2 linked regions of the Oryzias latipes genome follow. The protein of the gene in region 1 purifies or fractionates together with the protein of each later gene. This does not show direct contact. Links are inferred from orthologs where the notes say so. Each region holds a gene or a part of one and is shown on either strand. Other genes may lie near its edges.

Region 1 (3,751 bases):
ATTTGTGAAGCTGTGGATGGCGGAGACATGGCGATGCTGCTGGGAAAAGAAACGGGTCCAGCAGCGGTTAAGGTCGAGGAGCGTCCTGCTGGCGGGCATGGTGACTGACCAATACTGGCAAAGGGGTCAGAGGTCGTTACGGGGTTGGAGAAGTAGCTGAAGGTGGAGGAGGCCGCCGGCGGACCGTTGGCCGAGGTCTGACCCAGGAAACTGTCTTCTTCTCCAACGTCAGTAGAGTCTTCTGATGGACACAAAGACGGGTCAACGTTTTCTGACACTGAAACTGCAGGTCAGGGTTTCTGTGAGGCTTCTCTAAACATCAAACTTCAGGAGTGAAGCTTCACCGCCGTCCACAACATTTCCAGCTTTCTCCATATGATTCTAAACTTTTATGAGCACCATGACATCCTGTGTGATCCTTTCCTAAGTGGAAACGATCAAACAGGATGTTATCGAGTGGTTTTCAGGCAATAAGCATGTTGACTTCACTAAAATACATGTATAATATATAAATAAAATAAATCTCTAAAAGACAGATTCCAGCATTTTAACAACAACATTGTTTTAAATCTGAACAAAGTTCATCCATTTACAACTCTTCACTAAAAATGTTTAAACTGACTCATTTTCTTTTAACAAAAGCAGATCCAGTGTTGCAGATAAAACGCGTCACTTTTTCATCTTTTCTCTCAATCTGAGGGTTTTTAAAGGCTGAAGCAGCACAGCTAGCTAACCGGCTAGCTTAGCTAGCTAGCTCTCGCCCTGACAACATTCGGACCTCCGTCCGCGGTTCCGCTCACCTCCTGACAGCACCGCCGGGCCCGACGCCTGACTCACCGGCATGAAAGGCAGGTTAAAGCTAAAGTCTGGAGCGGCACTAAAGAGTAAATTCGCGCTGCTGTCGGGACCACTGTTATTTTTTCTATCTGCCATTTTCAGCTGGATTTACACGTAGCCACAACCGGACCAGGCTGGCAGTAAATGCGAAAGAAACGTCTCCTGACGTCACAGTTTTCCCCGATCTCCAACACTCACGCGACACTAGATTTCAGTAAACATCTTAGCAGATGTTTTATAAATCTTCGAAACATACCCGATTGGCTTGACCCGAGGGGATCAATGTTTTTGGTGCTGCCATCTAGAGGCCCGGATGATGATTCAAACTCCTTTGGTTTTTTTTTTGCACCTTTTTTCTTCTTTTGTCAGAACAAAGTAAAATCTCGTGAGAGATAACAAATTTCTACTTAATTTGTAACGACTTCGGAATCCAAACCAGTTTTTAGGGCGGTGAACAAAAGCAAAAAGTTGCTTGTGGCTCCGCGCTCCGGTTTACTCCGGTTCTCGAATCAAACCAACCCCCTCTTGGTGCGCAGTGACGCAAATTTCGCGCCTCGCTTCTGCAATCCCGAGTGAGTGAAAAACTTATCGGAGAAGTGAAGCCGCGCGGGTTTTCCTCGCACGTTTGTCTTTGATTCCACGGGTTCAGTGGCCGGTTAGCGATGCTTTCCACGCAGGACTGGATTCACGCACCTCTCGGTGTTGTTGAAGAGAAGTTTGGTGAGAAACTTCCCTCCACAAACACTTAACGCCTCAGACTAGCTCGTTAGCCGCGCGCGCGTCCAGCCGCCCTCACATGGAGCTTTTTTTTTTTCCTTTACAAACTTTATTAAATGTAACATTTCAATACACAACAATGCAAAACAGCAACAAGAAAGGAATAAACCAGGTGGTTATTATTACATTTCACACAAAGACACTGAAACTGACGCACTGGTGCCGCTGCCCGCGGTGCATCAGTTTAAAACTTTATTGACACAGTCGGTGGACATAGACGAGAATCGGGCGCGCGGAAACCTTTACTGACTGTAGAAATGTCGTTCGGGGTTCGTCAACTTTTTGTTAGATCTAAAGACGTTTTTGTTTTGTCATACTGGTTCTTTTGAAGTGACTTCATATATACAGTCTCTGATGATGACGAATTCCTTCATGAAGAACGAAACCAACAATCTTGAAGTTCATTAAACATTTACTTTATTTCATTTTTAATGCCAATGTGTTTGTTATTTTAACATTTTTTTTAAACGATCGAATAAAATGACACATTCACACATGTTAATATAAAATGCAAACCGTAGTTTAAACCTTCAGCAGCATTCATTTGCTGCCGGAAATGACGTCTTCCTTTGATGCTGCAGCGGCTGCGCAGAAGGGTTCCTCCCCCGGGTGGGAGGCGGAGGTGGTGGAGTTTTTTAAGGAGCAGCTGAAGGAGAAGAGCGCTCAGAGTTTGGTGAGGAGAGTCCTGCAGACGGCGTCTTCACCGGCCGTCCGGTTCTGACCTTGTCCTTTTCTGGACCAGGTTCCGTCTCTCAACGACGTTCCCCTGCATTACCTGAAGCCCAACAGTTTGGTGAAGTTTCGCTGCTTCATCCAGGACATGTTTGACCCGGAGTTCTACATGGGAGTGTATGAGACTGTGGACGGACCCACGGATGCTAAAGTGAGTGTGCCCCCCCCCCCCCCCCCACATCTCTAGCATCAGCTGACCCCCCTCCCCCTCATTTGTCCTGTTTGACCCCCAGATGCTGCACTGTGGGAAGTACAGGGATGTGGCAGAATGTGGGGTGAGTCTGCATCCTGCTGCTGTCCTCAAAGGTGGTGCAGCCGCTTCAGCTCAGCTGTTGGTTTGAATCCCAGGTGGACTTTAACTCCAAGAACACCGTGACGGCAGAGCGGCAGACCTTCTACTGTGTGCCCATTCCTGGGGAGAACCTGTGGGTGAAGGACATATCCTGGGATCAGGGATCAGGTTCTCTGATGACAGTGTGAACAGTTGTGTGTTGTTCCTTAACCTGAGAGCACGGATATGCGGGCAGCAGCCAGGCGCGCGTGGTGGCGTCCACCTCCTACGTGCCGAGCAGGCAGAAACGCAGCTACGAGGAGGACGAGGACATGGACACGCAGCCGCAGAAGCAAGCTCACGCAGGTGTTTGTCTTCGCCGTCTGCTGGGTGTCGAACCTTAGGCGTCCTCCCCCCTCAAACGTTCTCCAAATATTTCTGCAGGTCTTCAGGGTCCAACGGACCTGCAGAGCAACGCCGACTGTAAGCGTCAAGAGACGGAGGCTCCTCCCACCCAGGCGGCGTCCGCATCCCACCTCGACCTCAACTTCCCCCTCCCAGGAGAGAGGGGCCCCGCCTGCCTGGTGAAGGTTGGAGCTGGACGAGCGCGTTGGTGGCTCCGGTGGGAACCCTGATCCTCAGGCTGTGCTCGTTGGCAGGTGTACGAAGACTGGGAGAGCTTCAAGCTGAACGACGCCCTGGAGGTTTTCGGGATCCTGTCCGTCAGTCCCGCTCTCAGCGCCCTGGCGGAGGAGAGGTGAGGCCCTCGCTTCGTAGCCCCGCCCCCTGTCTGCGTGCTGCCCGTCTCACCGCCTTTCTTCCTCGCAGAGACGCCTCCTCGTCCTTCCTGGACCCCACGGAGGGCATGGAGACGGCGGAGGAGCAGCGTGTGCACAGCCCGCCGGCCTCGCTCGTTCCCCGGCTTCACGTGCTCCACGCCAAACCGCTGCAACACAACAACCCGCTGCTGCCGCACGCAACCTCGGACGACAACGGCGCCTGTAAGGACGCGTGTTTTTGTAGAAACAGAAATGATTCCAGACTAGAAGAAAACGCCGAAACACCAAAACCAGTAAATTCTGTCGCTTCCGTGGAAATTCATCAGCATCACGCAGGAACTCAAGACGTTTGACC
Region 2 (3,751 bases), about 23 Mb from region 1:
TGGTGTAGAAACGGGAAGTTCTTCGTCATGCAGCTCAGCAGCTTGTTTCTCCAAATCTGTTGTCAACACCTGAAACACACACGCAGCTTGTCAGAGTTTGAAGGGATGACTGTGTGTAAAAGTGAAACACAAAGCCAGATTGTGTACCTGATGAATGGCCAAGCCCAAACAGCTGAGCATCACCTCCGGCTGCTCTTTCAGTGCCGTGACCACATCAGGGAGCGCTTGACTCACGCTTCGGTCTCCGGTCAGGTCAGCGTAGTCCACCAGCACGCTGCCCTGGCGCTCGATCTCATCCTGAACACATCAGGAAGTTTACAAACAGAGACTGACCGCCAGTGGAGGAAAGTAACGAGATCAAATATGACTGACTTTGTCAAAAAGATGAATCCTGGAGGTGAAATATTTCTCAAATACTTTGATCTTCTCCACACTGGGGGAGCTCTGTATAAATCCTACAAATTCAAATAAACATTAAAGGGAGAAAAAGACCTTAACCTTATGTGAGCGTTACATCTTCATCTGCACATACCTTCAGTGAAGTAGAGGCTCCAACCTTTGTATGGGCATGAGGCGTCCAGAGTGGTCTGAAAAGGGACTGAAGGGGACAAAAAGCAGCTTCTGAAAACACCTCCATTTCATATTTAGGGGTGAAGAATAATACTAAATCTTTACCTCACAGATTTTATACAGTAGAATATTATAGATTGTCATGTTAGGAAAGACTCCTCACATTTTGACCCAAAACAAAATTATTCAAATGAATAATTTTTAAAGCCTAAATATCTGTGTTTCAAGTGGATTAAATTAAAATATAAAATATGTATGTAAAATTAGAATTTTATATATATATATATATATATATATATATATATATATATATATATATATATATATATATATATATATATATATATATATATATATATATTTAATTTTACATCAAGAAACTTAGCAAATAAAGCAGATATTAGTTCTGCCATAACTTTAGTTTTTCTCAGTTCTTTTAAGACAAAACATGATTTTTTTTCCAATTCAAACTGATTTAAAATATAAAGATTCACAAAATTTCAGACCAGATGATCTTTTGGGGGAATTTCCTATCAGCGGAAAGGAAAACCTGTGTGAATCTCCACAGGGAAATCTATGAATACAATTATTAACGCCTCACTCTGTACTATTAGGAGCCGTTTTGTGACAGCACAAGATTCAATGTCGCCTCTGGGGCCCCCAGAAGCAGTCAAGGAGTCAAATCCGAGGAGGAGTGGATCACTTTGAAACCATCTGCGTGACGCTGAGAGATGATCAAACAGGACGTCAAACAGACATACTGTTTGATCTGCTTGATTGAATGACCCACTTTTATATTATCAACCAATAAAACCAGACTGGATACACTGGGAAGGCAGAACTCCTCTGTGACAGCTTTGGGCTGTGACAGACGGGCTTCTCCTTCTGCAGAAGTCTAACATAAATTCTCATCTCCTGTGGTTCTTCTCTTTGTTAGGGAAAAGTCGGTTTTTCCTCCTCATGCTTTCCACACCACATGTTTAGAACATGAGGCATTTCACAGGTAACGCTGCTTAGGTATGAATATACACGAGGGCAGAATGCTTAAACCCCTTGGCGTCACCAGGAAACAGCCACAGAGGGAGCAAACACAGATGTCAACCGTGTCTTTCTTCTGCAACATGAACGTTTCTTCAAGCAGTTTCCTTCTTCGTAAAATCAAAATGTGAAGAAAACATGGCACACACCTCTCTGAGAACTATAGGTCGGACTTGGTGATCCTCCGCCTCCAACACCCCTTCTCCAAGTTCCTGCAGAGCCTCTTCCACCCCCTGTGGATCCTCCTCCTCTCCATGGCCTGTTCTTCCATCCTCCTCCTCTCCATCCTCCTCTGCTGCCTCTCCATCCTCTACCACCGCCCCTGGATGAACCTCTCCTGGAGTCTTCCTCACTCATCCCTTTACAGTAATGAAGGCCAGAGAAAAGAACTGGTTTAAGCTAAACTAAAACATCGAGTAGAGGGAAAATGAAAGGAAAGTAAACATGATCATGAGTTTTACTACACTCACTGTGACACTGAGTGAGTGCAGAGACACAATGACAAACATCCAAGTTTAGACACCTTGCTATCCATTAAAAAAAAAAAAAATGCGAGTCTCTTTCTTTGGGGGTAAACACCCCCCCAATACTAGGATAGTGATAGTGAAGATAAAGTGAGAGTGACTCTAGTTACACGCATGTCTCTTAAGAACACAGACTACTTTTAAAAAGTCATACACTTAATAAAAAAGTTACAACAAACGGTTATGATCAGTTAAATTTAACAGAGCAACTGCGTCCTCACTGTGTCTGACTGTCACGAGTTAGCTAGCAACACCGGTTATCTTAAGCTTTTAGCGTCAGATACATGTATATGTCACGTGACATTTTAAGACTAGGAATATATTGTTCATGTCAGGTAGAACGGCGAAAAAAGACGATAAGTTACATAAATATGGAGTTAAATGCACGGTTTACCGAGCTTTTTGTAATTAAAATTCCCTCCTCGGACGTCAACTTCTTCTGTGAGTTTACCTAAACTGGCGAACCACTACTGCCCCTGGTGGTCTTCCTTGTCTTTCGGTTTTAGGCGGGCGATATCTGGCAGTTTTAGTGCATTGTCGCCGGAGTATGGAACGGCGTTCAGCAGTACAAAATAAAATAAAATAAAATAAAATAAAATAAAATAAAATAAAATAAAATAAAATAAAATAAAATAAAATAAAATAAAATAAAATAAAATAAAATAAAATAAAATAAAAATTACTTACATTTTTTATGTTTGTATTATATGTTTTTCCTGATTTACTTTTTGTTTTCTTCCTAAATCCTGAAGGGTTTTTAACATATTTCACTGCTTCATCTCCTTTATCACAATCACATGAACCTGAATGATGTTTTTGTGTTAAACCCATCATACTTTTCTCTTCCTTGCTTTGATTTTTTTTTTGTTATTTTCCTGAGAACACACATTGCTCCTGGTGGTTAGAGGTTGGTGAAAGTGTTCGGCAGTGGGGCTGCCATCAGTGTGTAAATGGAACTGTGGGTATGACCGAATTCGCACCGTAACCCCTATATAGTGCACTATAAAGGGTGTTTGCCATTTTGTAGTGCTGTCCTAATCTGCTTTTGCAAAATCGAATGCCCTAGAAATTTCCCAGAAGTCTTCTTTCTCTTTCGGCTTTTCCCATCAGGGGTCGCCACAGCGAATCATCGTTTTCCACTTCACTCTATCATGGACATCTTCTACCCTAACATTAGCCAACTTCATGTCCTCTGTTAAGACATCCATATATCTCCTCTTTGGCCATCCTCTTGCCCTCCTGCCAGGCAGCTCCATCTCCAACATACTTCTACCAATATATCCACTATCCCTCCTCTGAACATGTCCAAACCATCTCAGTCTGGCTTCTCTGACTTTGTCGCTAACACAGGCAACATGAGCCGTCCCTCTGATGTACTCGTTCCTTATCCTGTCTAACCTGGTCACTCCTAAGGAGAACCTCAACATCTTCATCTCCGCTACCTCCATCTCAGCCTCTTGTCTCTGTCTCACTGCTACCGTCTCTAACCCATAGAGCAGAGCTGGTCTCACCACTGTCTTGTACACCTTTCCTTTGAGTCTTGCTGGGACTCTTCTGTCACACAACACTCCTGACACTTTCCTCCACCCGCTCCAACCTGCCTGCACTCGCCTCCTCAC

The links.
Region 2: the proteins of mcmbp (region 1) and mcm8 purify together in Homo sapiens (co-immunoprecipitation; 3 studies listed by BioGRID and IntAct, with this or other methods). This does not show direct contact. The link is inferred for Oryzias latipes from reciprocal best matches to the Homo sapiens genes MCMBP and MCM8.

Annotation. Positions count from the first base shown.
Region 1 is NC_019873.2:29,884,957-29,888,707, reverse strand, and holds the start of mcmbp (mini-chromosome maintenance complex-binding protein), read left to right. Parts: upstream 1-1,346; 5' UTR 1,347-1,499; coding exon 1,500-1,557; intron 1,558-2,195; coding exon 2,196-2,287; intron 2,288-2,356; coding exon 2,357-2,497; intron 2,498-2,579; coding exon 2,580-2,621; intron 2,622-2,694; coding exon 2,695-2,784; intron 2,785-2,859; coding exon 2,860-2,983; intron 2,984-3,061; coding exon 3,062-3,207; intron 3,208-3,276; coding exon 3,277-3,374; intron 3,375-3,445; coding exon 3,446-3,618; intron 3,619-3,751. Other genes in the region: sec23ip (SEC23-interacting protein), read right to left, coding at 1-241, 801-933. UniProt on the Homo sapiens protein: Associated component of the MCM complex that acts as a regulator of DNA replication.
Region 2 is NC_019873.2:6,458,747-6,462,497, reverse strand, and holds the start of mcm8 (DNA helicase MCM8), read right to left. Parts: upstream 2,668-3,751; 5' UTR 2,527-2,667; intron 2,098-2,526; exon of another isoform or gene 2,079-2,097; intron 1,968-2,078; 5' UTR 1,966-1,967; coding exon 1,758-1,965; intron 599-1,757; coding exon 533-598; intron 456-532; coding exon 373-455; intron 298-372; coding exon 148-297; intron 70-147; coding exon 1-69. UniProt on the Homo sapiens protein: Component of the MCM8-MCM9 complex, a complex involved in the repair of double-stranded DNA breaks (DBSs) and DNA interstrand cross-links (ICLs) by homologous recombination (HR).